Coturnix japonica: one gene and its partner. The protein of the gene in region 2 binds, or shares a complex with, the protein of the main gene of each other region. Links are inferred from orthologs where the notes say so. Each region holds a gene or a part of one and is shown on either strand. Other genes may lie near its edges.

The links. The genes of interacting proteins can lie anywhere in the genome.
Region 1: the proteins of TGFB3 (region 2) and ITGB6 are in contact, whole or in part, in a crystal structure (PDB 4UM9), measured with the Homo sapiens proteins. The link is inferred for Coturnix japonica from reciprocal best matches to the Homo sapiens genes TGFB3 and ITGB6. Residues at the interface, in NP_001316868.1 of Homo sapiens: His259, Gly262, Asp263, Leu264, Arg266, Leu267, Lys268; in NP_000879.2 of Homo sapiens: Ser142, Ala143, Ser144, Asp147, Pro196, Cys197, Ser199, Ile200, Tyr202, Cys204, Ala234, Asn235, Ile236, Asp237, Thr238, Glu240, Asp271, Lys355.

What each region holds. Positions count from the first base shown.
Region 1 is NC_029522.1:24,910,431-24,914,179, reverse strand, and holds the start of ITGB6 (integrin beta-6), read left to right. Parts: upstream 1-1,414; 5' UTR 1,415-1,479; intron 1,480-1,931; 5' UTR 1,932-1,947; coding exon 1,948-2,008; intron 2,009-2,760; coding exon 2,761-2,840; intron 2,841-3,749. UniProt on the Homo sapiens protein: Integrin alpha-V:beta-6 (ITGAV:ITGB6) is a receptor for fibronectin and cytotactin. It recognizes the sequence R-G-D in its ligands. Internalization of integrin alpha-V/beta-6 via clathrin-mediated endocytosis promotes carcinoma cell invasion.
Region 2 is NC_029520.1:34,888,154-34,891,802, forward strand, and holds part of TGFB3 (transforming growth factor beta-3 proprotein), read right to left. Parts: intron 944-3,649; coding exon 780-943; intron 1-779. UniProt on the Homo sapiens protein: Transforming growth factor beta-3 proprotein: Precursor of the Latency-associated peptide (LAP) and Transforming growth factor beta-3 (TGF-beta-3) chains, which constitute the regulatory and active subunit of TGF-beta-3, respectively.

The DNA.
Region 1 (3,749 bases), on a different chromosome or scaffold from region 2:
GACTTGCATCCTCACCAGCTAAGAGAACATAATTGAATTGATGTTTTTTTCATGCCACAAGAAATTGTTTTAGATGAGTAAGACACTCCAAGATATAGAATGAAATTGAAGGAGACTTTGGAATGTTGTAAATAGAAATGTTAAGGTGTGGTACCACAACAGCCGAAGGTGGGCTATATCCAAACTGCCATATTCCCATCCCTCTGTCATCTCTTCCTGACTCTTTCTCCCCTCAAACTGGTGCTTGCACCAGGGTGGGCAGTGACAGAGGGCAAGGAACTCTGCCAGCTGAAGATCAGCCCACCTACAGAAGGTTTGTGGATTTTTACTGGATGAGGTTGAATCAGCTCACTGTTTTTTTGGGGCACCAATAAGAGCCAAGGGGTGTGAACATGAGGGCAGGGCAAAGGTAGGCTTGACGTAATCCAGTTGGAGCTGCTATGAAACTACCTGTGGACTGTGTAAATACTAGTAAAATCGGATGTGCCTGGGAATGTTTCCAGGCACTAGAATGAGATTCTCTGTGCTATGAAACTGTTTAAATTCTTCCCTGGCAGGGATTTGACCTCTTCCAATTAACACTCTCTGCAAACAATTTCTGGGCACAATTTGATTGCTAGAATGGTCCCAATAGGCAATTTGCAAGCAGAAACGCAGTTCGTTCTGTGCCAGTTGGCCTCCATGCCCAGGAATGCTTCCAGGCATGTTGGGTTTACTAGTATAGACCTATCCCTACTGTCACATCCTGCCCCAAAATTGCAGCTACCACCCGGTTTGAAAAGGGAGGTCTGAACCTGTCAGTTCTCATGATGAGAGCAGCTCAGTTTCACAAGCCAACTTTGCTGCTTTGGTGGGATTTCTGATGATGGAAAAACAGGTCATACGTTTTTAGGACAGAGCAGCAACACAACAGATGAAATTGCTATTTACACTGCAGTGTGCAGAGCCGGTTGCATACCCTCCCAGTGAGAAAGGAGTTGTACTGAACAAATCATTTTCAGAACTGAGAGTAGCATAACATAAAAGCTAGATGAAATCTGGGAACAATACATTTTATTTCCTTTAATAATGCTGTAAGAAATGCATATTTTGCCTTCATTTCTGGTTGGGTTGGTGAGAAAAGAGATAGCAATAACTTTATGTTGTATCTGCAGTGCTGCAGAATGTTTGGGCACTTGCGTGGGCATGAAGCTGAAGTGATTTTTCTCAAGTCGGTTGCAGAACTGGGTATGCAGTTATTCCTTCCTCTGCATATTAAGAGAAAAAGCCACAATTGCAGTGTTTCCTTTCCAGTTTACAATGTTAATAAAACCAGCATGCTCTGTATCTTGAATGACCAAAGCCAGGTCCTCAGCTGCAACAACTGAATAATTTCTGTTCTTCTTTTTCTTTTTTTTTTTTTTTTTTTTCCATTTTGCCTTTACAAGCTTCCTTCCACACCAGGGAATCTGAAAAAATGGGATTTTTACATCTCTCCAGGTATATTCACTTAGCCAACCTTATGACCTCTTACCTAACATATTCTCTCAGGGAACAATTAAAGGAATTGTTTTAGAGTGGCTCAATACACACACACAAAAAAAAACCCGACTCTCGGATGGGTTGCTTTAGGACCCAGAGTAACTGGAATTGACAGAAGTCTTCACCTGAATGAATTTTCCTTCTGATTGTATACCTTATAAGGAGTACAGGAAAACAAGGAAGTGATAACCATGTTCAGGTTACCTCTATGTACAGCCTGCAGTCTTTACCTGCCCAGGTAGCTGTTGTTTTCATTTCATTCATGTTCTGTGCTGATAGGTTTGAAGTTTCCTCGCAGTCCGTTGTAGGTGACATCTGAAAACATACACTTTGGGAATTTATGATGATTTTTATGACATTCTGCCTTTCCGTGGACGATAATTAACACGCTAATACTTTTTGTCACACAGCCAGCACTGAAAACGAATGGGGATTGAATTGCTTTGCCTCTTTTTCCTATTTCTTCAAAGAAATAATGATGTGCAAGGTAAGACTCAGGGACAGGGAGATGCATTTCAAAACCATTTTTGCTTTGTTTCCTGCTTTAATTTGATACTAAATAGCTCTTTGTCTTCTGTATTTAACTGCTCCTTTCTGTTTGATGACTGTTTTCTTGACATGCTGCTGAAGGGCAGCCCTGTGAATTTGCCTGCGATTTATGCAGACGTTACATAGCAAAATATGTATGAAAGAGACAGGCATCTGAGTAGTAATGGTTGTACTAATCACTGTTTGATCCACTGAGAAACTTAATGCCTTATGAATGCCTCAGTGTTTCACCAGTACTTTCACAACAAATTAAAATAATATCAAGAATCTACAGACTTGGGTGAAGCAGTTTTAAGTACAGTGAGCATACACAAATCTGGTGGTTTGGTGTCTCTGTTGGTATTTTGGTTATGCTGGGAATGCTTTGCCCCACACCAGAATCAAACACAAAGCTCTGGCAAGTGCAGTGAAGCAAACTAGTAGCAAGTTCTCATGTTCTCAGAGAATGTGCACCTATAAAGCATGCAAAAGTATGTTAATTATCAGCAACCGTGTTGTTCTTTTTTTACCCAGAGCGTTAATGTTCTACCAATGGAAATATCCTTAGGGAAGGACTTTATCAGTAACACTACATGTGGCTAAATGTTTATATTATTTGCTTCCTACGTTCTCAATGTAAGCAGATTCTTCACAGACCAAACGCTTAAACGCATTATTAACAGCCTTTTGTCTTCTTGGATTTAAACTTAGGGACCTGTTCTCAGGAAAGTGGAGTGACTTGTGAAGATTGTTTGCTTTCCGGACCACACTGTGCTTGGTGTTTCCAAGAGGTAGATGATACCAAAAATTTCAAAGTAAAACTTGAAATGTTTGTAGTGGCTCTGAGTGACGAAGTATTGACTTAATTGGGTTAGCCCGTGGTTTTGTAATGCATACAGAGCTTACTGAAGCCTTCCTGGGAATCAAAAGGGGAATTCTAGCATGGACTTTAAGCTGTATTATTATCTGCATTGTATCAGCTCCGGCTGATTTCAAATATGGCAATAGTGTTAGTTTTCTAATTAATTATGATATAGGTGCGACTGTTTTGGCTAAAACACAGGGCTTTAACATAAATATTTGGATTTGTTTCTTACTGGTCTCTTAAAGGTTTTCTGTGTAACTCTGGGCAAGTCAATGTACATCTCTCTGCTTTTAAAATCTTCCCCTGTATAAGATAATAAATATCTCCATAATTCCTAGTAAACATTTGAGGCCCTACTTCATTAATGCTGGCAAGAAAGTTAGCTGTCATTATTTAAAAATTGCCAGAAATAGTGAGAAATTAAATATTTTTATGATAGCAGCAGAACTGTAAATCAGAAACTATTCCTAGCTATTTAAAATAGCAGAATAACACATAAGATAGGAATACTGTATTGCTGTGTGAAGTAACTCACAAAGATCAAAGAATACTTCTCTTGAAGAAGATTACTAAATATAATTCAGCAATTTGTACGTACTGTTACCATGGGGGGGGGGAGGGGGAAGGGGGGTAGGGAGCACATAGAACTACACACTCCGAAAAGAAAAAAGAAACCCACCCAATTTACAACAACAACAAAACATCAGTGTGTTTTCAGGAGTTTCTGTTTGCACTTAACCACCAAAACAGGATTTTCTTGACATTTGATCAGGATTTGAAATACTGCCACATACATTCAGAAAATGAAAAACAATGTGTTTATTTAAAAAATCCT
Region 2 (3,649 bases):
TGCACTGAGCCTGTGGAGAAGCTTTGGGATTGTCTGTTAGCAATTGTTATCGTCTGTTAGCTGGAGAACTGCTCTGCCTTTGAAAGATGAATTCCAAGCAGACCTTAAGAGCTAACAGCTAAAGGGCAATTTTAGCTGCATTGTTACTGCATAGCAGAGAGACAGCAGCAGCCTGTGGGAATACAGTGCCAGGATGCACCATTAACTGTGTGATCCAGCACGGCCAGAGACCGCTTCCAAATCTGAACCAGACCTTATCTTGCCAGCGGACACCAAGAGTTCAAACCAAACTCCAGATGAGCACCTGCGCTAAAGGTGCCAGAAACTGTCCCTGCAGAACTGATGAAAGGAACACTGAAAGCAAGCATTTCTTTTCCAGTAAGTCTGAAAGTCAGAGAGCTCCACCCATTGGATTAGCACCAACTGCACTGTACTGTGACAGTCAGAGGAACAGCTCTGCCAAGGGACTTAGGCAGAAGGGTCAGGGCTTCTCTGCTGGTGAGAGGATCCTCTTCCAACCCCTTTGAGTATAGGAAAGAGCTGCATAATTCATTGTACTCACAACAGCTGGGCAGTGTGAGTGGGGAAAAGGACAGCACCACACTGAAACAGGAGAAAAATATGTCTGTATCACTGCTTACATGCTGAAAGAAGCATGGAGCGAAGTATGGAATCTCTTTTTCCTCTCACCTGTGGCCTTGCACCCACAAGCTGGGGCAGTCACTAGGGAGCCAAGCTGTTCTGGCTGAGGCAGTGAGGAAGGCGAGAAGAATACTCACCTGGAAGAGCTCAATGCGCTGCTCACTGCGCTTGGAGCTCGGGTTGGGCACACGCAGCACCCGGAACTCTGCTCGAAACAGGTTGGTGCTGTTCTTCTCTGCTGAGGACACGTTAAAGCGGAACACATTGGAGGTGACACCTTTTGGGCAAATGCCCAACTCATCTAGGAGAAAAAAAGAGGGAAAGGCTAAGGATTTCATGCCAGAAGTGACTGAGAAACAGCTTCCAGCTAAACATGTCACCACCTTTGCGTTTGGTTGTCTGGCTAAAGAGATGGCAGGAGAAATTAACTCTAATTTGCTCTACATTGGAATGTTTTGAAAATCTTCTCACTACTGACACCATTATTTCAATGCTACAAGCCAGAGAATCGGTGGAGATCAATCACAGTATTCTTAATTCTGTCTCTTCCAACTCATCAAATGTTGATAATGCTTGTAAGTTTCCTGCATTTGTCAAAGCAACCCCAACCAACACAAGGGACAACCTCCTTTGTTCCTTGTGGGGCCCATTCCCAATAACTGTGATGGTGTAACTCTGTGCTCATTCTGGAGATGTGAAGCCACACAGAAAGTGATCTTATTACAGGAGACGATGTCAAGGTCTGTAATGAAAGCCAGAGAATTGTCCACAGAGTTTGGTAAGGCACTAAAACAGGTTGCCCAGAGATGTGGTGGATGTCCCATCCCTAGAGACAGTCAAGAACAGGCTGGATTGGCCTCTGAGCAACATGATTGAGCTGCAGGTGTCCCTGCTTATTGGACTAGATGGCCTCTAAGGGCCCCTTCCACATCCAATGACTCTATGATAGGTATGAGGTGCAGAAGACATCTCAGGAGCAGTGACTCTCCAGGGCATACTAAAGGAACTGAGTTCTAAGGTCAGTTCTCATTCATGACTTGGAGGAGGAATTCATGGTTAGTACTTGATACAGAGTTCTTTGGGGACAGAGGCTGCTGTGCAGCCTACAGAGATCAGACACATGAGCAGGAAATAGCACAGCAAGGCTCTGCCTGGATGCGTGCCTGCTTAGCAGAAAAATCCACTTCACAAGTGCCCAACAAGAGTGCGAGTAAAAATCACAATGTTTCCCCAAGAGAAAATGAGCATCTCTTCATTGGGACCATTTTGGTCCCATGGAAAAAGCAGTGATCCCTGCTGCTCCTCTCCTGTTGACCTCCCTTGGCCTTCAAGGCTGTAGCATCATTAAGGCTTAAAGGCTTCCTGCAGGCAAGGCACAGCAACTCCTGCTCTACACCCACGTGCAGATCTGTTTGCAGTCCTGCAGAGCCTCTCATATGACCTCTGGCTGTTCTCCAAGGTAACACGAGGCTCTCGTGTCAGCTGAGATCTGTGGGGTTTTGTTGTTGTTGTGTTTTTAATTAAATAATAAAACCACACACACAAAAATCACTTGTTTTTTTTTCCTAAGCCACAGTTCCAGCCTGTGATAAATAGGCTGGAAGACCTGGCAACCTTGAAATTGTGTTCTTGGAGCTGGCCCCTGTCTTCAAAACACCGGTGTCCCACAGAAATGAGTTCTGTAGATGGGCTGGTGGTGGAACAGTGTCTAAGAACACAGGCTCATTTCCCATGCCAAATTCTTCTTTGAGCAACAGTGATTCACTTCTGGAGTCATCTTGATGAAGCTCAAGGTCTTCCTCCTGTGCTACACTCAGCCTTAGCAAGCAGGAGCCTGCCAGTTTACAAATGTGTGTTCTTATGGACAGAAAGTTTTACTCAAATCAGCTAATGACCAGGTGCTCACTTTGAAACTTGTTTTGAGGCTTTTTGCCATACCTACTATTGAATGGAACAGCTTTTCCACCTGTGAACATCTCTGCCTGCTGTTAAGATGGGGATTTTTGCAGCCCCAGGAGACCAGACCCAGCGCAGCCACCAGCTGGCATATTCAGCCCAGCAGCCCTACAGCACAGAGAGCACTGAGCTGTGAGAGGACACCCACCATGGGGACTCCACCACTGTGACGGGTTTTGTGCCACAGATAAGCACAGACCAGCAAGCTCTGATCTCATTATGTACCCGAGGGCATCTTTCTAGATGAAGTCCAATGCTGCAAAGGTTCTGTTAGACCTAGGTGGATCCTGTATTTTAATATCCCCTTAAGCAGTTTTGTAATGCTTGCCCTATTAATAGGGCTGTTAACAGCCTGCCCTTCCATTTCTGAGCCAACTGCTTGTCCGTGAGGGGATGTCCCACCAATCATCACAAGCGCCTCCAGATCAGACCAGTGGCCAGCCTATCCACAGTCCATTTACAACATTGGTACTTTATCTGATAATCTATTTAGAGACTGTAAACCTGGTCCAAACCTGGTCCTACAGCACAGTGTAGATGAGAGAGAATCATTTACGGTTTGTCAGCTTCTTAAATGTTTTGGCTCAGTGAGGCAGCTAATAATGCTAATAAGAGATGGATGACCGTCTTCTGTATTCTCTTGCTATCTCTGCAATGCCTCCTACCTACTTCTGATGGTGTTCTGGGGACCTTCCTAGTTAAGTCAACAAGGGAACAAGCTCCCTGTGATGGAGGAGATGGAGCTGCTGTTTCGTTCTGACCATTACAATGTTGGAGCCTGCCTCTCACAGCCAGACGACCAGAATACAGACCTAAGTCCCAAAAGATTTCTGCTTTTTGAGCAAAATTCTTAAGAGGTCAGAGGTGTGCACAGCTAAGTGATGTTTTCAGGGGACTCGGTCTAGTCCCAGCTCAGGGCACTTTAATCACACCAGGATCTGGAATTGCCCAGATACCAGCAAAGAACAAAGCCCAGAAGCAATATTCCTGCAAGCTCCTCCAATACACAACACCCAGTGTCTGTAATGAAGCCAAGAGAAGGAAATCTGTG